Struthio camelus: one gene and its partners. The protein of the gene in region 2 purifies or fractionates together with the protein of the main gene of each other region. This does not show direct contact. Links are inferred from orthologs where the notes say so. Each region holds a gene or a part of one and is shown on either strand. Other genes may lie near its edges. The genes, in order: IFT88, IFT57, IFT80 and IFT74.

Region 1 (6,826 bases), about 100 Mb from region 2:
AATCTACAGCCCTACACAGCAGAGAAGTTCATTCATGGTATGCTTTGGGAGAAAAAACATCAGTAGCCATGCCTTGACCAAGTAAAGAGTTGTGCACTTACAAAAGTAACAAGAAATGTAACTCACTGGAGGAAGATGCCAAGATAAAAGGAGATCATTTTATGCAAAGGACTAAACGGCGCTCATATTTAAGGCAAACACCTCACTGTCATTAAGAATATCTGTAACAGCGAACAAAAACTTACCCCAAATGCAGTAGCTACAGGTCTTGCAGCTGATGTACCAGGAATTTTGGCTGTCATCTGGGTGAAGAAAAAAAAAAAATAGTAAGCAATCACATGTGTAACGGACAACATAAAAAGACTAATAATTATGAAGTGAATTCATAGAAATAATTGTGCTTAAAAAATTGTTACAGAAAGGAATATCACTGTAGAACCACGTTGTTCTGTGAATAAATAACATTAATCAGAATAGTTTCAGCTCTTCTTTAGACAAAAAACATATATTCCAAGCACAGTGCACATGCTAACTTTATATTTCTTTAGAAAAATTATGTAAAATTTAAGTCACAGCAAAACTAATGCAAGCAAATAAATGTAAATTGTGTGGAAATGGAGGAAAAATAATCAGAACAACTGTTTTTGTGAATGAGACTTTATAGTTTCTTATCATTAAGGTTACCTATCAAGACTAGCACCTCTGTGAATAGAATATTAAACAGAAAGTCCTTCCAGAACCTCGTTTTGCTCTTTAACAAGCCTTTAACTCATTTCCTCAAACAAGAACATACTTTTCCAAACAAAATTCCTTGCTAGCCTAACTCCAGAGCATAATGGAAGCGGTGCTCTGCTAATTTTTACTTATTTTTCATATAACTGAAGCTTGTATCTTCATGTTAGCAATAGACCAGGAAAAAAAAAAAAAAGTGTATCAGAGCCAAAAATAGAGCTAGGGCTCCAGAGAACTTCTGTGCTATTTGGACATATTTAAAAATATACTTACAGGGGGTCTTCTACCATGACTTGTTCTCACTGCCTGTTGAAAAGCTATATCATTTTCTAAATCCTGAAAAAAGAAAAAGAAAAAGAACAACCCTCTAACCCCATAAAGCACAGCACTCAAAGCCACATTTCCAAATTATTAGGACTATTGAAAACAGATAGGTAAAAGATAATCATTCTTCAAAAATACTTCACCTGCATACAACTGAATGATAGGTTGTATTGCAAATAGGTAACGATTACATTATTTGCCCTATCTCTTTTGATATTTTACATTTTAGGGAGAAATGTAAAAAACTTATTATCCCCTGAAAAGCAGTAACATCCTATGATGAAGAAGAGCTTAAGTGATAAAATTTAGCATGCGTAGAACTTTTTTTCCTGTCCATAAGCTTATTATTAGCACTGTTTTTAAATTTTAACTGACATTAATATCCATGTCATGCCAATATATTAAGACATCATCCCAGACGCATTATTGATCGTACAGAGACCTGAGGGGAGAGGGACTCCACTCCATTTAGTATTTCTTGCTAAATGAAGAAAAACAGACTTCAAAGCAGCAGTACACTTGCACATAAGTGTACCTACATATTCTTATCTTGAAATTAAAAACTAATCCTATTCAAAGGGAAGGTGGGAAACAGCAAATACTTTTACCTCTGTGTCAAAAGTGGGATTATAATCATTGTATCCAGAATAAAGATCATCTTCATCTGCCTCTGGAGCCAGGTGCACATTTCGCATCATTTTTATCTGTGAAAACATTAAACAACCCAAATGTTATCTGAGCATTATTATGTATGCCTTAAAAATGTAAAATATAGACAGGAACAAGGTTTACAAATTCAAAAGCTCCAATTTAATTTTGGTTTATATCTGCTGTCCTTGATATTAAAAATATATATATATATTCCAAAAAAAGGGTTCTATTGAAAAAGCAATGATATTAAGGGGCACCATCCAATAGAATCAGGTTGTCAAGCACTTACACCATTGTCACGACAAAATTTTAACAGCAGTTTTAAACGGACATACTCATCTTATCATTAAATGCCAATGATCACTACAAGTAATTATAGTATTCATAATGGTACTTTTACATTCTCAGATAATTCAGCTTTGAGCAAATTGTGAGTTTTGCTATTTCTTTTAATTAGACCAAACCATAGTAGTCTAATGAAAGATATCACTTCCAGCTCCACATCTTCCTTCACCTGTGTCCTTATACCAACATGGCTGCAACTAATCTCTGTATGCAGAATTCTTCACACAATTCTGTCATTTCAGTTTAACCAGCTTTTTAAAAACTGTAATTAAAGAAGTCTAGTTGTCAATATCGTTCTTCAGAGGTACTTCGGACATCTACTAAGGGTTGTGTTTACATTGCAGCCTTTTCCTCACTGAAGGAACTATTAAGGTCTCTCTGCCTGGCTACCTACTTTCATAAGAACTTAAGAAGGTGACAATTTTTGATTCCATTTGTAGTATGAAACACAGGCACTCTACAGTGATCCCGAGCCAGAGTGCCGCACATCCCGCTGAGGGCCAGCTCCTCTCGAGCAGCAGCACGCAACCCCTGGGCCTCCCTCCGGGCCATGCGCGGCGCCCCCGCGGCGCAGGGCGGCATCGCTCCTCTTCGCGCGTTCCCGCGGCCAGGGCCCGCGGCAGCGGACGGCGGAGGGAGGGCCCAGCCGCCCCAAGCGCCCAGCGCGGAACGACGCCGCAGGATCGCCGCGCCCCGGCGAAGAAGCTCCGGGGACCAACGCTGCCACACCAGCCCGCCCTCCGCCGTGCCCCGCCGCACTCTCCGCCCGCGGCCTAGCTCGCCGGTCGCCTACCGGCTGCCCTTCCGCGGCGCGGCGCGGCCGCTCGCAGCGGAGGCCGCCCGCTCTCGGCCGGCGTTGACAAGGGAGATACCAGCCACCACGATCCCCTAATGCACCGCGGCTGGTTGCTAAGATACGAGCACTCGGCTGCTGTCGAGCGTGCGCACCGCGATGGCGCATACGCAGAGCAGCCCCCGACGCCTTTGCCCTCGCGTGGGCGTCGCTGCCGTCCGGGAAAGCTCGGCGGGAAAGGGAGGCCGCGGGTCAGCCCGCGCCGCCGGCTTCCTGTCAGGGCCTCTTCAGCGCCGAGCGGCTTCTGCCTCTGCCGGGGCGTGCTTAGTCCTGGGGTTAAAAAAAGCCAACCCTCACCCAGTTGCTGAAATGAAACAGCCACAAAATTCTGCCCTCCCAAAAGCCCAACTGAAGGGAGCAACTGGCACAAACCCAGAAATCCCCCTGACCACCTTTCAGACAGGAAATAACTGCTGCTAAACTCTTTGGGACAGATTTTTTCAAATGAATCAGTGCAGAACGCTGAGCTAGAGCTAAATATGAACTAAGTTTGATTTCTTTTTGATCATTCTAGGACTTACTCTGACCTGATCCCACAAACATGTATGCATACCCTTGATTTTGTGAATAGCTCTATTTCCTGAGTTAGGTTACGCATGTTTCCAAAAGGGCAGCTTGTGTGCTACGGATTCAAAAACACGTCACGCCATGTAAGCATGAACAACAGTTGCTTCTCCCTGTGCTTTCCTCATCTTTCAGAAGAGGAATGGAAAACCACTGCAGAGGACGGCAGTCTTGTCTGGCTGCCTACCTGTAGTCCATGGGATAAGGAAAACAATAAATAGTAAAATAAATGCAAACAAATTTAGTTGTCTGCTAGACATTGCTATTCTGTGTCTGCAAAAAAAAACCCATCTGAGAGATATGGATAATATTTATCTACTCTAAAAGGCAGATTATTAGGATTAATGACTTAATGTTTTTGAAACATTAAGCAGAGAGCATTTGAAATTCAACAGAACGGGCAAAAGAAATCTAGACTCCTCCATAAGTTAGGATTATAGGATCCTAGCATAATTCATGTTGGGATGGACCTCAGGAAGTCTCTCGTCCGACCTGCACTTCAAAGCAGGGTCAGCTGTGAGGTCAGACCAGACTGCTCAGGGCTTTATCCAGTCTGGTCTTGAAAACCTCTCATCAGCTTTTTACCCTAGCTGCCTATTTTTATCTGCCCTCTTCCTCTTTCCAAAACAATTGTTTTATCCTTACATCTAGTTTAAATTTCTTTGTGTCTTCCCAAGAGTACAGCCAACCTACTATCGTTCTGTGGTGAGAACTGGTATTTTATGCTACAGACTTGCTATTTGCAAGAGAAAAGCACTATGGTAAAGTAAACGGCTTCCTGAACGGCTGCCAAACCTCCTGCTCTATGAATGAGACGCACACAGGTGTCTTATACTTCCGCGTCTCTCATCACCATACTGGCATTTTAGACATTTGCAAGTGCTTCTCTCTAGCTCCAGACTACTATGTGTCCTTTGGAGTACAATGGGGCTCCACTGGAACGTATGTTTTTTCAGCCTGCAGCCTACACCTATGGGTGGCGGACTTCCACCACAGTCATCGTAGGACTCATCGGATGTTGTGGAGTCTCGGAGACCAGTGTTCAGATAAAGTGAGAAATCTGCTCTCAGATCTAAAAGTCCCAATTAAAAAAGTGAATAAAGATTTCTATCTGCCATAATCTCTGAAACTGAATAAAAAATTAAAGCTCGTAAAGTCTTCAAAGAAAAAAAGATGATTCATTTCTTCTACTATTTTCACTGCTTTCTCTTGGTTGGCTGTTATGGAGAACCTGACAGGTTCTCCAGCTGATTAGTAAATCATTACACTCTGGGGAAAGTAGCGATCCATAGCTGTTTCCATAAATGGAAAACAGAGAGAACAGAGGAGAGATCTCTGAACTCTGTATTATTTTTGAGAGATAAAAAAACTTTGAGCCCGACTGTAACCTGAACCCCTGCCTTATGCTAATAGCCTAAGAAAGATATAAGGCCACTACGCAGTGGTCAGTCAGAATACCCTCTGTATGATCAGGTTTTGTGAGTGTTATGCAACCTCAGAACTCACCTTCTTGCAGCCTCCAATTCCTTTCATAAGAGATAAGGCACAGAAGATATAAGTGAAATGTATTTCTACTTCAGCTCCCAACAAGAGAAACAAAGAAAACAAAAGTGTATTAACACTTTATCACTTCTTGCATTAACTTGTTCAGGTTCCATGCATGAACCACTTTCACACAGAAACTCTAGACCTGACACTTTTGGACATACACATTTTTTACCTGGAGTTTTTGCAGAACAAGTATTTTGCAGAGTAACAGACTTTAGCTGGGAGAATTTTTAAGGAGACTAACCTGTCGTAAATGATGAACTTCAGCATAAAAAACATATATATTCATGTTCAGTCTCCCTTTTCTACCTGTGGCTCCTCGTTTAAATTTGAGACTATGGCTTGTAGATTACCTGTTTGTCCTCAGACACATTCAAACTGAGCAGTAGATACATAATGTGGCAAGAGCCACTTGTCTATATCCAGAACTTGGGTATACTGGTGCCCAGCATGTTGTGATGTTTCGATTCAATTATTTGGGGCACTGGAGGGAAGGGGGCCATGTTAAGGAGTCAGTGCATCTATATTTATCCTTGTACATGAAAGAGTGGCAGGACACAAGTGGAACCCAACCATATTGCCATATTATCAAACTCCCTACCCCTCCAAAATAGGGTGGACACATTGAAAGCAGCTATAGGAAATGGTCCCTGGCCGCTGTGAATCCCAAACCATACTGGAAATTGTTTAGGAGAATGATAATTATCTAACACTGTGATGGGGCTATTTTAACAATTTAATAGCATAGACAGTTGATTCCAGGCCCTGGCACAGCCACATGTAGCCCACATTGCCCTAGTGCGCACCTGGGGCCAGGAGCTTGCAAATCCTCCTTGGTCCACCTCATTAGGCCCTGCAGTCTATGTACTGCTTCTGAAGTCCTCACAACATCTTTGAGTCCCAACAGGCCTTTCCTATGCTTCTAAAAGCTGTATCAATCTACAAACGGTTTTATGTCCTATGAATTATAGAATAAATAGACATAAATGCATAAAGATTTAACATAGGACCCAGAAATATTAGGATCTTCTGTGCCAACACTGGACCTTTCTCACTAGACCTGATTTAAGAGATGTTCTAATGAGATCATGCTACAAGGAAAAACCCAAATGATATAATTGACTTCACTGGCTTTGGCTAAATCCTGACTACAGCCTGGAATGCAAAACTGCCGCGAAGTAGTAAATAGCCTAAGCAAAGTTATATGGTATAAATTCCTACTCACTTTAAGTTACAGTAAGTGAGCACTATCACTAAGTGAGGTTGTCCCACTCTTTTCTCACCTTTCTGATCTTCATTCCTGCCCTGGGTCTGTCCTCTGCCTTGCATCAAGTTAGCTGTTTGTGCAACTGAAACAAACTGAGGATTCGATTGGATTTTTGTCCCGTTATCTTTCAAGCTGTCAAGTCCTTGATCTAGTTTCTTCAGCGAAAATTTATGGCAGTTTAAAGAGACCCTGAAACTATATTCTTTAAACAGTAGACATTTCCTTGCCTTTAAAAGCACGGTGAGTGGGTATCTTTTTGTAGCAGTAACATTGCAAGTAAGGACTAAAACTGTTCCAGCAGCTAATAATTTGGGTTCAGAGTTACTGGCCACAGTCTGCTTGTCATAATCACTGCTAGTGCGTACCTTACCCTTGCTCTTTCAGTTTAACTGTTTTGCTAGTCAGGCCCTAATGTGTTTTTAGGAAATGGTCTGGATTTAAAAAATAATGCTCCCATTGAAAACTTTAGAAAGTGAGTAATTTTCTAGTATTGAATTCTGGACTAACAAAACGTTCAGAAGTTTTGCAGTGTCATGCAAAGC
Region 2 (7,197 bases):
CTGCTAACATCAGCCTTCTTTTCCCTTTGCATTTGCAAGTGGTGTGCATCATGTTTTCCTGATCAACACCTTTGCCCGCTTGTCCCTCACCTCCAGACTTGATTAATGCGATAGATAGGTCATGCTTGATGCTTGAACTTTAGGAACTGGAGTCAATGCTAACTTTCCTTCAGTAAGCAACCTGACACGTTATTAACAGAGAGCTTGTGCAGTTTGGCAGTGATGCTCGGGGAACAACACGGATCCAACGGTACCTCTGCACTGCCTTTGTGGCCTGCATCTGGCTCACCTGTTCTAACTGCACTCTGTAGTGCTGTAGTACAATACAGCAGCGGAGCCAGTTCGCTGGAAATTTTCCCGTTTAGCACAGATCTTAGCTTTGGGTTTTCCCACTGTAGCATGTTGTAAGAAGAAAAGAGCAAGAGTACTAGTCACTAAAGCAGCTGAAGCCTTAGGCTGCAGCCAAGGCCAGCTGGAGCCTGTTTTTACAGAACAAGGAACATTTTAACAGTTGCAGGTAACAGTCACAGAGGTGACCTAAAGAAACCCCTCGCAGCAACAGAGAGTGCCAGCGGACCACAAGAAAGCGAGTAAGAGAAGTCGCGAGATGGGTTAATAGGAATCAGACTATGGCAGAGGGTGCTTGCGATCGGGTTGTAACCAGATTAATCAAACCAGGAGCCTGTGGGTGGAGTCCCTCCTTGGTGGCACCCAGCTGAAGCTGTACCTGTATTGTGCATAATAAACCACTTTTTTTGTTTAGAAAAATATTCACTGCTGAACTGGGAAAATAAGTAGAGACCTAGGGTTGAGCCAAAACAGTTGGAGGTGACAACTGAGTAATTCCTCCAGCAATTCTGGGTGGCAATTGCGTAATTCCCGCAACAGCCTTGAGAAAAAGGTTTGTTGCTGTAAGTTACAGAACAGCTTCCTTATAGCGATTAATTATGCTCTTAATGACTCTGAAATTTAGAAGAGAGACAGTACAGGAGGGTAGAATAGAAGGTGAACAGGGGAAAGACCATTCACTAGGTCCCCCAATGCTGAAACTAGGATGACACCAAACGAAATAAATACCATGGCTGAAGTGTAGAAACCGCTGCCATAGAAAGTTCTGGATGCCAAAATTCCTGTGGATTAGAAAATGGCTAAGCAAAATCCCACTAGTCCTTGCCTGATTTTTATTTTTGAGCAAAAAGAACCTCTACTCTAAGTCAGAAAGTCCTTCCGCCAGTGACAGCTGGGAGGGGGCATCAGGAAAATATGATTCACATCTGTCCCATTCTAGGTCTGTATAACCATGGTTGTCAAAAGAGGAGTTCTGAAAAATACAAGTTTTCAGTTAATTTCATTCAAAGCTAAAAACTAGCTCCCTGCACACTTGCCAATTTCTTTCTTCATACCAAAAGATTAATACCATTCCACCCTCTGCACTTCTACAGAAAATCTTGCAGATTGTAGGCTCTGGCAAATACGCTTTTCAAAATTTGGGGCCTTATAAATATGAGGTAAATATACGCTGATATTGAGAGTCCCACTGCAAGGTACCGAAGAAACAGTCTTCTTTTCACTACAGACCGAACTGGCATTACCAAGAAATCATATTCTGTATGTGGCTGTTTGGTGAAATACCAATACAAAATTATTTAAAAGAACAGCATTCAACAAGAATTAAGATCACTGTAGTAATGCGAGTTACTGCTGCTCCACTTTTCAGGGCTTATTTCATATAGAACAACCACAGACTCAATTTGATGGCAGAAGCTCAGCCAGGTTTTCTGACAGCAAGGCAAGGCACTAAAATGCTTGTCCCAAGAACACATACAGGTAGGTCAAGCACCAAACAGCTGAGATAGTGGCAGGGGCATCAGGAAACTTGTTTTGCCCACTGGAAAAAAAAAAAAAAAAAAAGAGACATCAAAAGGCAAAATTTTTTTTATTGGTCAGTGATCAAACCACATGCACCAGGTATTGTATCATGCAGTACTTTGCACTCCACCTGCACCTTGATCAAAAGCATTTACTTATCACAGAGATACTGGGACCAATCTCTGTTTAATAACCTTTTCTTGGTCACGTGCTTTTGGAGCGGCCACGCATATTGTAACATTCTCATAGCACTGTCAAAAGTTATTTATTCTTTAATAGAAAGGATTCTGATTTATTCCTTATCAAGGTAGCTGAACAACAGCACATTTCAAGCACACGCACCCTTGCGTGAACTGGAAATACAAGAGGATTTCGAGTTTTATAAACAAGTTTGTTTTCGAGCAAACAAACAAGACAATCAAACATGGAAAAGTTGAAAAAAAAAAAAAAAAACCACGTTAAGCACATACTGATAAAATCCTGTACTAGCCTTAACTTTCCAAAATTTTCCCACTAAATCTTCTGGAGCCATTTTAGGTAGTATCAATCCTCTGCCTTCCCCCAGCTAAAACTCTATGAGTTAACTCATAACTCCCGACGTGAGAAACGCTGAGAAACGCTCCGGCAGGAAGGCGGCTCCGGCATTCTAAACAGACAAACTTTTTTTTTTTTTTTTTGGGGGGAGAGAACCTACAATACTGGCTTTTACCTCAATATATGTGTCTAGCCCCCCTCCCGCCCATATACTTTTAACACTGGAGTTGTTAAAAGATTTAATATTTTTACCTCTTCTGGCTTCACAAGTAGCCCAGCAATTCAGAGTCCTGCCAGTTGTGTCAAGTAAGCCAGCTGTTTCTTAGAGACACATATAAACCGAACTGCTCCTCCAGAGACCTTTCTCCTCCAGAATGGTAGAAGTGCATTCTTTCCAACTTTTCTCATGGCCACACATACACTCACCAGACCTATATGAGCCGCAAGTTCACTCCTCTTCCACAACAGAGAGTAACTGTTTCTATACCAATCCTTTGGGAGTGCATGGGCGCAGTAGCATCAACGCCCTTCATAAAGGCCAAAGCTTCCACCCCTCGGCGCTCACTGCTTTTGCTCTTAACCACCTCTTTCGCCTAGCTCAATTGAACAAACATTGTAATAACGCAGGAAAAGCTGTAACTGAGTAATAAAAAAATATTAATTACGGCCAAAAACGTGGTTGCGCTAGCAGCGGCAACACTGCTTTGGGATTGCAATTGCGCATTGCCAGAGCACAAGCACTGTAGCCCCAGTAGAAAGACTGACAATACTCTTATTTTTATTAATGCATAATTTAGGAATCTCACTCGTGGATTAAGAGGTAAATTCTGTATAGACAGCGGACAAAAAGAACTTACAATCTTAAATATAAAACAAGATGCAAATCAGTACGACAGCGTTCTTGGAGAGCTGGTAATCTTAAAGGAGAACAGTACGCGCATCAGGCTGTCTTGCGGCATTAGATAACCGATTTCCTCTTCTCTTAGTAACTCACTAGTGCTTCATTTTCTCCGGGCAACCGAAGTCCCACAGTAGTTGGCTTCCAACAGAAGGAACCGATAGCACCACTGAAATTAACTAAATAAAAAGCAGGGGGAAAAAAGTGAAAGTTTCTTTTCTGCAAAAAAAAAAAAAAAACCCGAAACAAGCGTTAGCAGCAGGACTAACTAACTAACAACTGGTCTGCTGCTTTCCTCCAAGAACTGGCTTTCCCATCGCCTTTCCTTCACACCCCGCCAGCGAGGGCGGCCCCGCCAGCACGCCGTCTGTTACAGCGGATGCACAGCCCTAACCCCCTTCCACCGCAAGGCTCGGGGGTACCTCCAGCTGTGCACTACACACCCTCACTCCAGCCGCCAGCGCACACAGCTGCTACCTGCCATCAACACCTGGGGACTGCCTGACCGCCGCAGACGGCGGCCCGAGACCCGCCGAGGCAGCCCCCTGCTCCCGCGGCCACCTACTGGGGCAGAGGAAAGCGCGGCGCTTGGCCGTCGGTTAACGCGCCCGGGCTCACCGCAGAGGGGAACAAGCCACCCTCCCGACTAGCGGCCATGTCCGTCCCCCCCCCGCCGGGGCTCCGGCTCCCGCCGGTCCCCGCCGCCCCCTCGGTGCGCAGCCCCAAGCGACCACGGCGACGCTTTACGGTCCGTCCTCCCCACCCCCCCCACACCTCCTCCGCGGGGTGGGCGGGGCCGCAGCGCGCCCTAACGCAGCGCTGATTGGATGCGCCCGGCTCGCACTGGAGATTGGTGGAGCCGGTTGCCGCGGCAGCGGTGGGGGTGGGTTGCCGCCAAGATGGCGGAGGAGGTTGGGAGCGGTGGCGGCGGCGAGCAGCGGGGGGACGAGGCGGCGGCGGTGGTGGCGGAGCGGGGCCCGGGCGCGGCCTATCACATGTTTGTGCTGATGGAGGACGTGCTGGAGAAGCTGAAGCTGCTCACCTACGAGGAGGAGGCGCTGCGGCGTCACAACATGCGGCCGCTCTCCAGGTGCGGGCCCGAGGGCGCACCAGCGCCCAGCAGGGCCCGAGGAGCAGGGCGGGGGGAGCAGGGCAGGGGCTCTGCTGCTAGCGGCGCCCGCCATCTGCTCCTCCTCCTTCTCTTCCTTCTCCTCCTTCTGGTACGGGAAAACTGGGAAATTCCGCTGCCTGTGGGGAATTGGGGCCCAGTCCTGTCAGGGCGCACAGCTGGGGAGGGGAGGGGAACCGCTTCGGAAGCTCTCATGGCGTCCCCTGTGCCCTTACCGTGTGCTGTCACTGGAGGCAAAGGCTTCAGCGGCCGTCTGTGCCGTGGGAGCAGGCGCCCCTTTGCGTTGCGGGCCCGGAGTTTGTGCGGGCACGTGGGAAGGGCTGGTGACTGGGGGCTTCACGAGTGCTGGCTGCTGCAGGCCAGTGGGCTATCATCTTGGTCGCGCTTGTGGTGCCCACGTCTCAAGTTTGGCTGGGTTAAGACTTAAACTGTAGGTGTTGGAGGCATAGCATGAAACTCTTGACTTAAAAGTTTGTAGCCTTCTTGGTTGCAGTGAAAAGCATCAAAACGTGACAACGAATATGCACATCAAAGATGCTAAATCCAGATGTTAGTAGAAAGAAATCCCAAAATCCCAAGTATTCTAATTCTTCTTTTTTTTCCCTTCCCCTCCTCTTTTTTTTTTTTTTAAATCTATTTAATTCCTCATTTTGGGCTATAGTAAACAGCCCCATAGATCTTGCAAGAAGTCTTCACATATCTCACATAAATGATACCACCGGGTTTGGCGTCTTATTTAAGGCAAGATAACAATTATTGGAAGACAAAAATTATATTAGCAAAGCTGAACACATTCAACTTGATGGTTCTGGCTTTCTATGTTGGTTGTTATGTTTAAAATACACAATGTCAAGAGGCTGGCCTACAGATGTTTTTAAAGATGAAGAATTATTATTAAGATTGGTTTAAAAAACTGTTGTCTGTTCATAGCTGTGGCATATCACGGTTAACACTTTAGATTAAAAAAAAAATCCTGCTTTCAGTCAAGGTGGGAGTGCCTGTTGTAACAGCATATTTATAAAGACTTTTAAGGAGAATGAGGGAGATGGAGGACGTACACCAGAAGTTAGGACAGGAAGATGTGAGAATAAATACATTAAATGTAATAAAAATATAAAGCTTTTAAAAACTTACTTTTATGCTCTGTAGGGGAAAAGGAAAATAATTTAAATTTCTTTACTTGGTGATGACATTTAAAACTACAGTCATTTCATATCACCAGAGAACTTGTGATGATTTTTGTTAGAGCATGAGGTTCACTCATTGCATGGTCACTTTTTTCTGCAAGTATTTTGAATATCAGTTTTAGCACAAATGCTACTTGATTTTCCTGCTACTTACAGATGCAGGAAGAAACAAAAGCTGAAGGCCACAGTTGCTTTCATAGGCACAGTTGGTCACATAATGAATACAATACTGTGGTTTATGCTGTGGTTTCAGTGATAACTTGCAGTGAAAACATTATATTAGATCAAACAGCTCTTGTTAACTTCTGTTAGCACCTGAGTGTATTTTTTTTTTTTATTAGTCAGGGTAACTATTTGTGGGGTAGGTGTATTTGTGAGAGGCCTGGGACCCATTGTTGTTTTAAGTAAGTCTAACTTTCCATCTCTGGTGTATCTTTATTGCATATATAACAAAACTCTTTTTTTAAATGATGGCACCAGAGAGACGTTTAGGAAAAGGACTGATGTGACCGCAACATTCATCTGCCCCAATGACTTTCAAATCTATCAGACAGTTTCAGCTAGGTTTGATAGAAGTATATCAAACAGGTATATTTTCTAAAACCAGCAGTTGTTAGGGGAAAAAAGTAGTCCAAATTAGTCTCTTGTTAAGAGAGAGTCTAGAGTATGAGCTCAGCTTTTATAAGCTGTTTTTAGGCAGCTGTCTGACCATCAGTATATTTTGGGGAAGGAAACGGACACAGGCTTTGTCTGCTTTAGTGAGTGACCGTATCGTAAAGGGAAACAGTTGATTCTGCGTAACTGGTGCCCACGCTACATGCATTTTGCGGGACTAACTGTAGTCTGATCGTGTGGACTGAATTGTTCCAGCCCACGAAACGCGCTCTTGGACCACATCTTTCAATTTACCTTCATCCAGAATAAGCCTAGTTTGTATACCCGCTCTGTAATGTGACCCAAAGCACAGTAGGTGGGGGGGATAGCGGAAGAAACACTTCAAAAGCATGCTTGCGATCTGAGCTTATACGCTTACTTAGCTACACCTTCTTGCTCACGTGGTAGTTGAGGGGCATGGGAAGGGGAAGAAGTTTGGGGGATTTTGAAATAAAAGGAGCTGGATGTATTGCTGTTGTCAGGAAGAGTCACTGGGGATGTTAAGGAAGGAACAGAAGGTAGAGTTACTGTGGTATAGGACAGTACGCGGACAGAGGTCACATCTCTAGGCAACCAGGCTTCGTGAAGTTTGTTCTCTCTTCCCCACAGAAGTGCCGTTCAAGTTGTCGTGCGGTCACTTGGAGGAATAAAATAATCTTTATATAACATGAGAGAGGATATTCATATGACCCAAATGCAGATACTTTTCTTTGAGCTGTTTGTCTAGACCCCTTTCACTAGGGAGAAATAAGTATTTCTGAAGCATTTTTCAACTTACTCTAAAGCAAATAAAAGGTAGATGAGACAAATCCACCCTGGCTTCCTGTGTCATGAGTACAAGCATAAAGCTTTAGCAGTAGATCATGTTCATGTCGTTTTTTTAGAGTAGGCTATTTGTGACAGTAGTTATGAGGCCATTTTGGTAA
Region 3 (6,828 bases), on a different chromosome or scaffold from region 2:
TTATATATGAGACTGTGTTAGTATCTAATTTATTAAGAATAGAAAAATTACAGTTTTGTTTATATCTCGAGTGTATGCGTGCGTGTGTGTGTCTTACTGCATGCAATTAGATACATAAATACTATTTACTACGTGGGAAAGAATTCAACCTCAAAACTTTCCAGTAATACATTGACAAATTCTGCAGGGTATTGAACACCAGTGGTCTCAAACTAGGTCGATAAAAGCAGAGAACACTGGGTATTGCAATGAGAGTGTTCAACATCTCCAGAAACGTTGCCTGTAAAAGAGGCACTAAAACAGTAACATTAAAAAAAAAGCCACATGCAATTTACAAATATTTTACTATGGCATTTATGATTTAAAGAAAATGTTTCTAGTAAACAGGCTATAAAGAGTTAACGTACTGTCCTAAGGTTTATTCTGAGAGAAAGGATATGTTTTGGTTCCTTTAAAAGTGAAGTCTTCAGTCTCATTTCAGTTGTTCAGATGGAGCATTAAAGAAAGATGTTTTGGGTACGTTATAACTGTATTAAAACAAAATAAACACATATATAAGTAGCAAAAATTAAAAAGGAAGATGGCAATACCAAAATTAAAGGTTTTGAAATAAATAATATTACATGAGTATTGTGGCACAACAATCACCAACGTGGACCTGAATGTTAAGGGAATTCTCCTTGAATTCTCCTACACGACCGCACACATATCTGACTGCTTAGTATCAACACACCAGGCAAGTTGAAAAACTAATGTCAGCCGCATTTTGCTGAAACATTACAGGTTGAAACACTGAAGTTCTCTTGTGCTGACAGACAGCCATGAAGGTAGCTGGGGAAAACCTGGAATCACAAACGTTCACGTGATTTTCATCTTAAAATGCCTGAACAGAGAATTACAAGAAAATTTAGAGAAAAGAGCCATGCTATGAAAATAACGCTGCTGTGACCAAATGATGATCTTCCTCTTTCACCCACAAGTATTTGGAACCTCCATGATGTTTTGCTGTAACACTGTAATTCCACAAGATGTTCAACTGGGTCCCACCCTCTCATCTTCTCCTTCCCTTTGGTAACAGCAGAGGCCTTTGTGAGTCTGTGCCTGGACAGGAGAGAGGCACTGATCCAGGTTAAACCTTCTTTCCCCCCCCCCCCTTCAGGATGGAAAGAAGTGAAGAGGAGAGGATCGGAGCAGGTGGTATACTCTGAAGACAGCATCACGATGCCCAGCATGACCTTCTGATCTTCTGGAATTTCTTCAGCATAGAAATTACTATGTGTTACTGTGCAGAATTTAAGATGCCTTAAGAGGAAGACAGTCCTAAAACATGTAATTTTCTGTGCCCAAAGGATAAAATAAGCTATTTTCAGCGCTACTTTACATTCATTCTGATAAAATGCACACAACATATTTTTAAGTACTTCAACATCTTTCATATTTGAAAGTCTACTTGCTTTCTCCTACCCTTACTCTAGAAATGTGTGAGGACCTCAATATCAAGGCACTTAAAAGGGGCCTGGGTTTATGTTGAACTTTCAAAGCGGCCTTTGAATCATGTCTTTGATTTCTAGATGGTGGTGATGGTGTCACTTAGCACCCACATCGCTATTCAGCACACGCTACAAAGCTTACCACCGGTGAGTTAAAGAGCTAGTCTACATACCATGAACGCTAGAAAAAACTCTACAAACATAACCTTAAGACTGTACCCAGCAAAGAAAAAAATATGGAGTAAAACAGCACTAAAATATGTCTTCTTCAGTTTAACGCAGGTATCACTCCAGCTTAACAGAGTATCTCACATTTATTTGGATGCGCGGCTCTTACTTACCCGCTTCTATTTTCTGCGCACGTCATGCCTAAACGCACTTTTTGAGTGGCCGCTTGGTATTTTTTATTGCTTATTTTTCATTTAGAGTTTTAGCAGGCAGGCTGCTACCGTCAGCTTCCGCTCCCCCTACGCAGGCCTCCAAAAAGCCTGAAAAAAGTCTCACGTGGATTCCGCGTTCTTTTATCCCCAAAGACACCACGGGAATTTTACAACAGGTTTTCGAAAACCGCAGCTCTAAACGCTCTTGGGGCGTACCTTAAGGAGAAGGAAGGCTCACCCTTATTTTACGTGTTAAACAGGCAGCCTTCTGGGGGGACACAGTCGCACCGGTTATCGCCGCTCGGAGCGCGTTCCCTCGGCGCCCGCAGTCGACGCCGCCGCTCTAACAGGGCTTAACGCCAGCGCACCAGCCGCAGATGCTGCTGTAAGGAGGAGGCCGCGCTGGAGGCATCGCCAGGAGCTCGGCTCACCTCCCTTCGCCCGCAAAGCCCGTTTTGCCCCCCCTCCTTTTTTTTTTTTTTTTTTGACAGCGCAGTCCCACGTTGTCTCCTCTCCAGTTCTCCTCCGGAGCGGCTCCATGAGAGTTTTAAGGAAAAAAACAAAAGGGGGGGGGGGGAACGTGAGGCAGGCAGGAGGTTGAGCAAGGCTGTGGATGCAGCGGGTGGGGAAACAGGCCGCGGGAGGAAGAGCGGGACGTAACGCGGTGCTTCCTCGGGGCAGGAGCTGTCCGCGGCGCTTCCAGCCCCGCCGCCGCCGGCAACACGCCAGGCGGCCCAAAAATTCCCCGTCCTCCCCGAGGAGGGACCTTCCGCCACGCGGCCGCCAGGCCGGTGCCAGCGCAGCCCCAGCGCCCGCTCCCCTCGGGGGGGGGGGGCTTCGTCGCTCCTACCGCCGCCCCCGACCCGCCGCCCCGTGGCGGCGCTGACTCAGACCCGCCGCCCCCGCCGCGTTATTTTACCTGAGGCAGCGGCGGGACGGAGGGAGGGAGGCGCCGGCGGTGGTGGCGGCTCGCGAGCCCCAACGGCTGCCGCTGCCACGCGATTCCCGCCTCGCCCGTCCCCGTCGCAGCTCCGGCGCCGCCGCGGCGAAGCTGCTCGGTCTCTATAGCTACTTCCCGCGAGACTTCTTCCTCCCCTCCTCCTTCTCCTCTTCCTCGCCCCACCGCCACCTCACGGGCCCTCCCCGGACCAGGTGACGCGACTCCATGGCGTCACCGCGCCGCCCGTTAGTTCACGCCGCTTTAGAAGCGTGCGCTATTTTTATTATTATTTTTTTCCTATTTTTTTTAATTTTTTTTCTGCACGTTTTTAAAAACCGTCCGTTCGCGCGGCGGCCCCCAGCGCCTCGTCGCCCGGCAACCGAGCGCCGCCCCCTGACCTATTTCTATTAAATTTAAAATAAGCCTCTTTACGCCACATACGGACGCGCTCCCCCAGGTGCCAAAAAAACAACGTGGCTGCCCCACAGAGCCTGTTCCCTTTCCCCCCCTCCCCGCCACCACCACCAAAAAAAAAAAGCGAACGGACTGATTTTGCTTTTTTTTTTGTTGTTTTTTTCAGCCCTCCCCGTGTCCGCGCAGTAACGGAAAACAAGATGGCGCAGGAGCGGGGCTTTCCCCCCCCCCCTCCCCCTTCTTCTTTCCCCTCCTCCTCCCCGCGTTCAAACCCGCGGCAGGCCGGCCCCCTCCCTTCCCAGCATGCCCCGCGCCTTTCTAACGAATTTCGGTTCGAGTTTGCCGTTTGGGCGCCATTTTCGAGTGTGGAAGCCGCCAAGCCGCGGCGGGAGCCGGGACCGCCAACGCCGCCGCCCGCTGCCGCCCCCCCGCCGCCCGGCCCGCGGCCGGGCGCTGCCCGTCCTCGCAGGTACCAGCTCGGCGGGAGCAGTCGGGGCGGTTTTGCGAGGCAGGGCTTTCGGGTAAGAGCCGCCGGAGGGCAGGTGGAGCCGGGGGAGGTGGCGGCGGCGGCGGTGGGGGGGGGGAAGGTGGTGGTGGTGGTGAGCGCCTTCCTTCGCCGCAAGCGGAGCCGCCGTCGGGAAATTTCCCCGGAGCGAGCAGCAAGTTTCCCCGCGCAGACGGTGCTGCGGAGGGCGGTGGCGGGCTCTTTTGCCCCGTGCCTTATTCTTCCTTTCTCCTCCTCCTCCTTCCCCTCACCCCACCCTGAGCGGGCAAAAGGCGGCGGCAGCCCCTTGGCCCGCCGTCGGGGCTGCCCTGCGCGGGGCTCTTGTTGAGGGGCGCCCGCCGCTTGGTGCCCGCTTCCCTTCCCCCCCCCCCCCCCAACCCCGCCGGCGTTTCTGTCCCTGCGGGTGTCGGCAAATGCGTGTGAGGAGCGAGGGGAAGAGAGAGCGTCGGGGAGAAAGCAGGTTTTCCCCTTGTATCCTTACGGACCGCTAATCGGAGACCAACCTATGAAGGGGAAGTGATATGTTTTCGGCGTGCCCGAAATACAGGCGCCCGATTTTAATCTGCTTACGAAGCAAGGACCCTTCCGTAACTAGCTCTGCCTACTCCTTTTATGCCTGAGGCGTGAAAGCTAAATCGTTGTAACTCTCTAAGGATTTTCTTAAGACCGGGACAAAGGTGCAGTAGGATTCCTTAGAATGACGGATTGATTATTTAAAAAAAAAAAAAAAAGAAGGAAATTTCACTGACATCGGTTATCGCTATCAAATTTGATCAGCTTTTAATAAGGAAGTCCTTCTGCCTGTCTCTGACTCTTCTTTTCGCCAAGCCCTCAAGAAAAACGGCACTTTGGCAGGAGATCATTGAGAGATGCTTTTAACAAACACCTCTGAGTTGACTTGGGGGAGGGGCTCGACACGAATATGTTAAGTTTATTAGAGAGTCTGTATATCTGGTCTATCACAATTTAAAAGTTGAAGTCGAGTAGTTACGCTTGTTAATTTTGTTGGCGTATACGGAGGAAAGGGGTTGGTAAGGTAAATAGGTCTATATTGCACAACTCTGAGTGGAGAAGCTTTGGAAAAAAAAATCTGGTACTTTGAGAGACTGTAATTGTTTGAGACAGCCATTGCGGAACACTTCTTAACAGGGGCATAGACTCAAATTGCCTTAAAACGAATCCTCTCTCTTATTTCCCCCCTCCCCCATTGTCCCAAATGAAGGACTCTCATGAGAGTGTGGGTTGGGGGTAGGTCTGAAAACGTCAAATGATTGGCACCAATTGTAAGATGACTTTCTAACCACGTCAGTTTTTTTTATCTTGTGAGAAGTAAACTTTCTCATGTCTGTTTTTCTCCAAACTGAATTCGCCACTTGCTGCAGTTTAAACTCTTTGGGGAGAGTTTCGCTCCTGCAGTCCTCTTGCTTCTCATCGGTTGCTTTCTATTTGCACTTTTTTGGGAGCTGTGCTTAAGTGGCAGCTGATGGACTTTTGTAAGGTTTCGTTCTTGATCAGATAACTTTAACATCAGAACTAGATTAACGTATTTTGTTTCGCTTACTCGGTTAAATGTTGAACACTAACAGTAGAGGTTGTGTTGTATTTTGCAAAGTGAGGGTATTGATCTAAACTGCTCCAAAGTTGAGACTTTACTTAAATTATGTATTTTTTTCTTAATAATTAGCATGGAGTGTTGAAAATAAAATGTGTGTCAAGTCTGAAAGGTGTATGTAAAGCGTGCTTCCAGAAGGATATAGCCATATGGCTACTCAGTTTGTTATTGCAAATGTATCTTTAACTCTTTTGCCCCCAGCAGCAGGGTTGCTCTCTCTGAGCATAGTAACTGCTTTGAATATGGCTGTATGGGTTTTCAGTAGGTAAATTCATGCCGTATCTACCGATTAGGGTAGGTCCATCAGTTTTGGGGGAATGTTTTCAAATCTATTTTTATGAGACTAAGCTTTGGGTGTTTTTTTTTTTTTTCCTTCCAAATTCAGAGTTTTGTCTTCAAAATACATCTAGACTTTGGTTTCTGAATTAGTCAAGCATCTGGACATTCGTATAGGTATATTTCTTAGGGGATTGTAGCTCAATGCTTAGATCACGGGGTTTTCTTGTTTGTGTTAGCAAAGGAGATAGATCCCTTCAGTGGTTTGATTGCTTGGAATTGAAGGGGAACAGCCAACAGAAATCATGCCAAGCAAGAGCACCAAAACCTCTACAGCAGTCCAGGCAAAAGGCAGAGAGCCCTTAGAGGAGTCCACCAGTGACATGAACGTGGACAAAGGTGATGGACAGCTTGGTGAAGTACCTCCACAAGGTAGGTTACTACATTATGATTCTGATGGCACGTAAACTTGACAATAGCGCCTGTGGAGCAATGGTGTTCAGTTGAATTTACAAACTATTCCAGGTACTCTGTTCTTTCTCTTCTAGAATATTGAAAGCCTTGAGTCTTGGCAAGTTTAAACTTTTTAAAATGGAAAAGAGGGCTTGCAAAGAGTTAAAGTATTTGGACCGGTCCTTTAGTACAAGTGCAAAAGCAATTGGTAGACTTTTTTCTAATAAATCTTATACTTGAGATTTCTAATCTGTAACATTGCACTTAAGATTGTGGTACAACAGCCGGATTTTTCAAATTTATACATAGCCAATGGTATGGGATTTCTTGGAATGGAATAAACGTCAAGTTTATTTACTTAACTCTTAAAAACGATTTGACTTTCTTTTTCGTGAAGCAGGGTTTTTTTGTTTTTGTTTTTTTTTTTAAGTTTTTTTGAGTTGAGCTTTTTGCTGAAAATGTCTGGAAAAGCAGAAGTTAGTGTCTCTTTAGTTAACCAGCTATGTAATTATTAAAGCAAGGTATTTGACAAATGGGTTAATATGTTGAAATTTGTGACAAAGTACTGTCTATTTGAAGAAAAAGTTGTTAGTAACTGCTGACTGCTTTGCTTATAAGTAGTTGATATCCAGGGGGCCAGTTTGTTTTCGTAACAAACTTCCTGTCTTTGCAGAGTAGTTGTGCTGTCATTACAGCTTTCAGAGCATTGTGCAGCGATCCCCAAATCTTGCAGTGAGCACGCTTGAAATGTGGCTTTG
Region 4 (7,131 bases), on a different chromosome or scaffold from region 2:
AAGCCTCTGCCCTAAACACAAAACAAAAAGCCAAACTTACAAAAGGAAGCACTACATATATTAAAATAAAATAAAATAATTATTTAATGGTTCCCTAAAGCTTGCACAGTATCCTAGAATATAGTCTTGTGACTGAAAAAAGCCAAAATTCCATTAGCTGCAACACATCTCACCTTTTCTCATACGACAGATAGACAGAATTCTCTTGGTTGTACATTTCTACTTCTTTTTGCAGCTTGTTAATTTCTGCTGTGAGGTCACTTATTTTGCTTCTGCAAAAAGGCATTAAACAAAAAAGAATTATTCAATTTTAAACGTGCAACTGAAACATAGTTGAGACAGTGGTACTTTATTATCAGTTATGTGCAACCAGTAGGTCTGCATCATGTTTCTAATCAGCTATTTGAAAGAAGAGCTGGAGAAATGAGGAAAAAAAGCAGAGTAGTTCTATCAGATAGAATCCGAGACAATCAACGGAATGTTTGGATATGAAATAAAATGTTTTGCTTTTTGCCCCATCACTAAAAGAGACACGAATTCTTCTCAGGCTGATTGGCAAAAAAACACAGAATCTTTTCACAGAACATGGCTATGATCCCTTTTTAAAAACAACCTCTCTTAGGACTGATCATTCAATATTGCAATGTGATCACGTGACAAAGCAGCATATGCAATACAGTTCCACAATGGCCTTGCCTTTTTTAGTGCTAGCTCAACGTATAATCCAAGGACTGCCTCTAACCAAACAGAAGCATACACCAAAAAGTCTGTCATCTGAAATGCTGCTTCATACAACTGGAGCTTTCAGACCTATCAGGTGGCACAGAGTAAGCTCAAAAAGTCTGACGCTCATGTTACTAATACTGCGGAGAGTGCATTTAACTTAACAAGCCCAACAACAAAATGGCCAAAATATCTACTTGTATCTAGACACAAGCATAAAATTCCTCTCCCCTAAAAAGCATGTCCAAAATAGCCTTCATAACTCTTGTACTAGAAATACCATAAATGAACACCACTTATCCCATGTTATCATTAAATACAACTCTTAACTTCACGTTGCTGCATTTCATTCCTTGGAATAAAGCAAAAAGGGACGAGCGCACTAAGCCTTCCATTGTTAACACATACCTCAGCAGTCCAAGATAATAGGTTTTATCCATTATCTGTCTCTGAGGACCTGTCAAAGGAGAGCAAATGATATTCTGATGACCTGTAAATTATGGGGGGGAAAACACACCCATCTGCAGTACTTACAAGCAGTAAATTGCCACATCCTTAGTATTCTCAAATGATTTTACCTGGTTAAAATAAATGAGGGCAAGGCAGAAATTCATTTTAGACTGCAGTAGAGATATACATTGCCCAATTAGCTATATGAAATTTGCTGCGTAACAAAATATTTTTTATTGTTCTGCAGTGCTGGAAGAAGATAAAGCTTATATCCTCCTCTTCTTTTTAAGGATTTTTAGTGAGATATGAACATCATAACAAAGCTTAGACACAGAAAAGCCTTTTTTTCTGATTGCCAAAAACAAAGAAAACCAAGGAGGGATGTGTTAATCGCCCTTTTCTTTCTCCTGCCAGTCATAGCTATTCACTCTGCACTCTGGAATAAAAAAGGTTTTCCTCTAAAATCTTTTAAATATTACTTTAAAAATATTTCAGACATGCTGATAGCTGTCTTTAGTAAAAAATACCTTTCATTCCCATTTTCATTCCACTTAATCCCTGTTGTGTCACTGGACGGTCTGCAACTTTAATCTGAGATGGCAACACTCCTCCAGTACTTGAAGAACCACCACGAGAACCAGGTCTTGATGTACTAGGAGGCATCTAGACAAAAACAAAAAAAATCTCAACTCAGAATTATGAATTTTTTATCCCTGTGCAACTGTCAAATCAATTAAACCTTAACAGTGAGACTCCTTTAAACTTTAGATTGTTCGCCTAGGAATCTGTCAGTATTTGTACATATCCCAGTAAACAAGCTTTAGTCAAGTGTCCAGCTGCAGGAAGGTAAGTGATTACCACTGACCAACCTGTCCACTGCTATTTCCATCTGAAACATTGCTGCTTTTAAGATATACCAGGTGAACTCTTGATGCAAGACTTCCTCGGCCCCTCTCACTCAACGTTACAGAGCTTACAAAGCAAGAAAACCTACATTTCTTCCTGAGAACTTATCAACCCAGTCACGGTACCCATGGTTTGTCTCATGAAAAATTACCAAAACCTGGTTAAAAATCTAAATACATCAAAGTCAACATTCAATTTTTTAACACACCGCTGTTCCTGTTCTGGTTGCGGATGGAGTCCTTAACGAAGAGGCAGGCCTTGCTGTCACCCCTACTCCTCCTCTTGAAGAAGGACGTGCTGTTGGAGGCCTGTGGTTGCTGGCCATATCTGTTTCCTTCTGAACTTGCTCCTAGAAAGAAGCATAATAAGTAGTGCTTTGATTTGCAGTGATTCTTAAAAAGTACCAGAGAAAAGAGCTAGAGGCAGAGGGGCGGCGGCACCCAAGGACAGCCAGCAGCCACCGAGGGGCGCGGGTACTACGCGCTACCCGCGACCGCCATGGCCGCCCGGGCGGACACAGATACCCCGCAGGCAGCAACGGCCCCTCGCCCTCACCGGACACCCAAGCGGCCGTTAAGCCTCCGCCGACAACGACGCCGGTATCGCAGCAACCGTCGGGCCAACCACCGCGGCTCCCTGCTATCGCGAGATTCAGAAATCTCGTTCCGGACGGCGCTTGCAAGGGGAGAGGGGAGGACGCGCTCCCAAGCTACCCGTGAAGACTACAACTCCCAGAGGCCCCGCGGCGGCCACGCGCCTGCCCGTCTTGCGCTCTGTGGCGCGGTCCCTGCTGGGACATGGAGTCTAACGCCCTTCTCCCCCCCTCCCCCGTGCCTGATGACGCCTCTTCCGGCGCGGTGGATGGCGGTTTCCGGAAGCGGCGGCGGCGGAGATTGTTGCTGTGTCAGAGCGCCTCGTCGGCCTCCTGCGCGCCGCCGCCATGGCTGGCGAGGGCCGTGTGTACCGGCTCCGCTGCTCCCTGGCGGGGCATGGTCAGGACGTGCGGGGCCTCACCAGCGGCCTTTTCCCTCAGGGTGGTTTCGTCTCCGTGTCCCGGGACCGAACTGCCCGGCTCTGGGCTCCCGACGGGTGAGTGCTGGGCCGCGCCGCCGCCTTGGCCGCCGAGCCAAGGGGGGCCGCGCCGCGGCCGGGCCTGGGGGAGCAAGGGGCGACGGTTTAGCTGCAGGTGCCTTCCCTGGGCCTTGCCGCCCCGGCGAGGGCCCCGGCGGTTGCTCCCTCAGGAGCTCGATGCCGGTCCGCGCGGACTGCCCAGCTGGCAGCCGCCGTTGCCGGTCTTGGGACCGCTTTGCTTCATCGGCTGCGGCGGGGGTGGGGGGGAGGGGGGGAGATGCGCCTGGCTTGTGCGCGGCGGTAGTGATTTTTTTTGACTAGTGTTTTTGTCAGGAGTTCAGGGTGAGCCGTCAGGTTTGTGGATGGCCGTGGTGCTTTTTTTCCCCCAGAGCAGGCCATCTTTTGGGGAACGTGGTGTTTGCCCAACCATGGGCTGTATTTCGACGTTTCAGTATTCTTTATGCAAGCTGGTAATCTCTGTGAATGTAGCATTGCTTTCTAGGTGATGTTCGGTGTCGGTTTCATCTCCCTCTACTCAATGTCAAAGTAATTTTACTATGTAAAACTATTCCTATATGGATAATAGGGCACTGTATTTAAAATGTTTTACGAAAAGTCTTTAGTCCTCTTGCTGAACAGATTTCTAAGAACATGAAATGAAACATGAATGAAACTACAGACAAAGCACAAATAGGCCAAGACAGTGGAATAGAAAGGAAATCTGTTATTTTGTCTCATATTCTTGCTACACAGTGTGGTTTGCAAGCGGATTTGCCAGTCGTTTAGTGAATTTTTCAGTGTGTCTTTATGATCAGAAGAGGTACTGCTAAGCAGTGTGGATGTGAGATGGTGGAGATACAGGTTACTGTATGCTGAAGTTGCCAGGCGTGCGTGTTCTTTACGCTGCCTTTCTTGTGAAGCAGAGATAATTGGCATGCTTGCATACGTTTTTATTAAGTGGATGTATGCTGCTCTGCAGTTAAGAGTGAGGAATAATAATTTGCTACATGCTGTTGGATTGTACCTCACTAAAGGAAAAAGTTTTTAAATTGCTTAAAATTTTTTTGCAAGAAAGGAAGTCTTTAGTTCTGACCTCTCATTTTTGAGGGTTGTGAGAGGAAGATATAGGTAACTTAAAGTCATAGTGTAGGTATTGATCATCTTTCTGCTTTGAAGATGTGGGATTACAGTAGACAGGGTTCAGTAGATAAGCAAACTACTATATACATTATTTTTATACTTCAAATTTCAGCAGAAGGTACATCATTACCTGCATTTTTTCTGTATAGCTTTGGCAGAAAAGGCAGAAAGGTAAATTTTAGAATTTAGAAAAATATCACAGCCTCCCTACCTCTTCCAAGCTTTAGAATGCAAACATGAAAATGTAAAATGGTATATGGTTTTTTTGAAATAAAACCTTTATCAAGTGGGGAAGATTACCGCTTCTCCCTCCCCTTCCCTCCTCCCCTGCCCTTGTTGAGTGCTCTGCCTACTGAGGCTGGCTCAAGATGGAGAAGTAAGGGTGCTACTTGAATCAGTTATAATCCATTAATTATTAATCTGCTATAGCGCTCATAACTAAAAGCCAGTGAATAGATTTTACAGTCAGTAAGCTTTCTTCTCTATTTACGTAGTCTGCTATTGTTACAGTGTACTGGAATAAGTATTTCTGTCTTCAGACAGCCAAGAATTTCTTACAGAGAAATTGTAGCTACAACTACTTCTGGTCACATTGGCCATAGTGTTTGCCAATGAGCAGGAAAAATATAATTACGTCCTTCCAGGCCCCTCACTTTTTGATAAATAAGTGAAAAACTTTAACTATTGCTTATTGGGCTAGGTTTTCAGAATAAATTTTTCTCTTAAATTATCATCTTTGTAAGTAATCCATAGTGTATTATTTAACCCATTGTAAGGATAAGTATTAATTCAAGAATTGGATTGTCAAACACCTGTTATATTTCAGTGCCTCAAATAAGTAATTTCTGTCATGACTCTAAACTGATTATCGCATATGTTTAGTCTTAACAGGGGTTTTACTGAAATGCACTGTATGAGTGGCCACTCAAATTTTGTATCTTGTGTGTGCATCATACCTCCAAGTGACCTGTATCCTCGTGGGCTGATTGCAACTGGTGGCAATGATCATAATATTTGCATTTTCACAGTTGACAACCCAGCTCCTCTTTATGTCCTGAAGGGCCATAAAAACACAGGTATGTAGTAATTTTGTTTTAGAGTTTGTTGCATAAAAGTTTTTATGATATGCTGGAGAGGAAAATAAGTTGAAGTTGTAAAACTGTATGTTGAATTCACTGGTATTTTAATATATTGAACTGTTTAACTACAGTCTCTACAAATACGATTTTATAATTTCAGTTCATGCAGTTCCAGTCAGTCGCAATGACTTCCTAGTTTGCACTATGAATGTATGATCTTTTCCTGTATAAACTCTCTATATATTATATCACATGCCAACTTACAGGCGTAGCAGAATGATGTTCATTTTGTCAAGAGCTTCATGTTTAAGAAGCAATCCATTTAGTCTGCTCTACAAGCCGTGTGTTTTGTTAAGCATAATTCTGTATCTAAACTGATAGCAGTAGCAAGAGTGAGTTTCCTAAACAGATAAAGAAACTTTCACTCTCTGGTTACTCAGACGAGGATCTAATATTAGTTGATGCTCTAGATACGTAATGAAGTCTAAAAGTACATTGCAGAAATTTTCCCTCTCTTCATTCTGGTCAATGCAGCATGTGATGTTTAACACGGTATTACGTACCCTTCCTTGAGCAATATAATAAAATATTCTGCATTTTTCATGTTAGCATACTAAATTCTTTTTTTGTGAGCTGATCTAGTATTTGATACACCTTTGAATGGTCTATTCTCATAATTATAGAATGCAAAATTTATTATTTCAAGTTTTGGACTCTTTTTCTGCTTTCTTATATCATTATATAAGATGGCAAGAAATAGCTTATGTACTTGGATGGGAAGCTGGGATGGGGGTGAGTCAATAACAGAACATGTGACATGCTCCCCCCAGAGTTGTAAAAAGGGATGAGGGTGTTCTAAAGAGGTTATGTACTGCCCCCTGCAACCTAACAATGAAATGTTTAGAAATAATTAAATTAATTTTTACAGTACTGTGAAGCTCAGATTAATCATAAATCTACTTTAGAAATGGGAAAAACTAGGGCATGAATAATTATTTTGTTTGATGACAAGGCTGGAATACGATCCAGTTCTCACTACTGCATCACAGAAGCAAGACACAGAAGGCTGTACTCTTCTTTTATGAAAGTCGGGTGGACCATATACTCTGCTCATGATTTAACTGCTTTTGTGAAGTTATTGGTTATTAGAACTTTATTTAGCACTATAGCGGTTTTATAGCAGCGTATTACTGGAGCATTTGCAGATTATTATTTGTTAAATAAATCTTTGAATTTAAGCACTATTTCTCAGTAAAGTATTTTGCCTTCCAAGAAGATGAGTTGAATACTTTGCTATGAAGTCTTGTTTCCTGAGGACATAAATTAACACAAATTGACAAAATCTTGGCTTTCTCATTAATCTTACAAGGAAATTGTTGTATTAATTCTCTGTCTTGACTGATTTTTTTGCCCTGCTTGTCAACTTATTCTTAATTAAAGGAGGAAAGAATGGGTGCTAAGAGAAATTTAGCTGCTAAATAGAACGCTGCTAATAGAACTAAATCTCCTTAAATGAATCTGCTTAAATTACAAGTCTAAGATTGCTGATAATGCAGGAAACATATCAGTGTTGATTGGCACCTTCATTTCAGTTTGCAGCCTTTCATCCGGGAAATTTGGCACGTTACTAAGTGGATCATGGGATACAACAGCCAAAGTGTGGTTGAATGACAGATGTATGATGACATTACAGGTATGAAGTTCTGCGTGAGTATTAAACAGATGCTTTATGAATTTAATTTTGTCAACAGAAATCAACAAT

The links.
Region 1: the proteins of IFT57 (region 2) and IFT88 purify together in Homo sapiens (affinity purification with mass spectrometry; 3 studies listed by BioGRID and IntAct, counting the BioPlex papers as one, with this or other methods). This does not show direct contact. The link is inferred for Struthio camelus from reciprocal best matches to the Homo sapiens genes IFT57 and IFT88.
Region 3: the proteins of IFT57 (region 2) and IFT80 purify together in Homo sapiens (affinity purification with mass spectrometry; 3 studies listed by BioGRID and IntAct, counting the BioPlex papers as one, with this or other methods). This does not show direct contact. The link is inferred for Struthio camelus from reciprocal best matches to the Homo sapiens genes IFT57 and IFT80.
Region 4: the proteins of IFT57 (region 2) and IFT74 purify together in Homo sapiens (affinity purification with mass spectrometry; 3 studies listed by BioGRID and IntAct, counting the BioPlex papers as one, with this or other methods). This does not show direct contact. The link is inferred for Struthio camelus from reciprocal best matches to the Homo sapiens genes IFT57 and IFT74.

What each region holds. Positions count from the first base shown.
Region 1 is NC_090942.1:203,815,896-203,822,721, forward strand, and holds the start of IFT88 (intraflagellar transport protein 88 homolog), read right to left. Parts: upstream 3,004-6,826; 5' UTR 2,846-3,003; intron 1,761-2,845; 5' UTR 1,755-1,760; coding exon 1,665-1,754; intron 1,069-1,664; coding exon 1,006-1,068; intron 303-1,005; coding exon 246-302; intron 1-245. UniProt on the Homo sapiens protein: Positively regulates primary cilium biogenesis. Also involved in autophagy since it is required for trafficking of ATG16L and the expansion of the autophagic compartment.
Region 2 is NC_090942.1:101,228,885-101,236,081, reverse strand, and holds the start of IFT57 (intraflagellar transport protein 57 homolog), read left to right. Parts: upstream 1-4,180; 5' UTR 4,181-4,200; coding exon 4,201-4,391; intron 4,392-4,645; exon of another isoform or gene 4,646-4,714; intron 4,715-7,197. UniProt on the Homo sapiens protein: Required for the formation of cilia. Plays an indirect role in sonic hedgehog signaling, cilia being required for all activity of the hedgehog pathway.
Region 3 is NC_090950.1:31,179,359-31,186,186, reverse strand, and holds the start of IFT80 (intraflagellar transport protein 80 homolog), read right to left. Parts: upstream 3,006-6,828; 5' UTR 2,790-3,005; intron 2,254-2,789; 5' UTR 2,109-2,253; exon of another isoform or gene 2,087-2,108; intron 528-2,086; 5' UTR 477-527; coding exon 440-476; intron 1-439. Other genes in the region: SMC4 (structural maintenance of chromosomes protein 4), read left to right, coding at 5,923-6,049.
Region 4 is NC_090982.1:5,382,928-5,390,058, forward strand, and holds the start of IFT74 (intraflagellar transport protein 74 homolog), read right to left. Parts: upstream 3,024-7,131; 5' UTR 3,022-3,023; coding exon 2,914-3,021; intron 2,898-2,913; exon of another isoform or gene 2,635-2,897; intron 2,631-2,634; exon of another isoform or gene 2,604-2,630; intron 2,429-2,603; coding exon 2,288-2,428; intron 1,837-2,287; coding exon 1,701-1,836; intron 1,181-1,700; coding exon 1,132-1,180; intron 273-1,131; coding exon 174-272; intron 12-173; coding exon 1-11. Other genes in the region: PLAA (phospholipase A-2-activating protein), read left to right, coding at 3,069-3,168, 5,319-5,366, 6,962-7,062. UniProt on the Homo sapiens protein: Component of the intraflagellar transport (IFT) complex B: together with IFT81, forms a tubulin-binding module that specifically mediates transport of tubulin within the cilium. Binds beta-tubulin via its basic region. Required for ciliogenesis.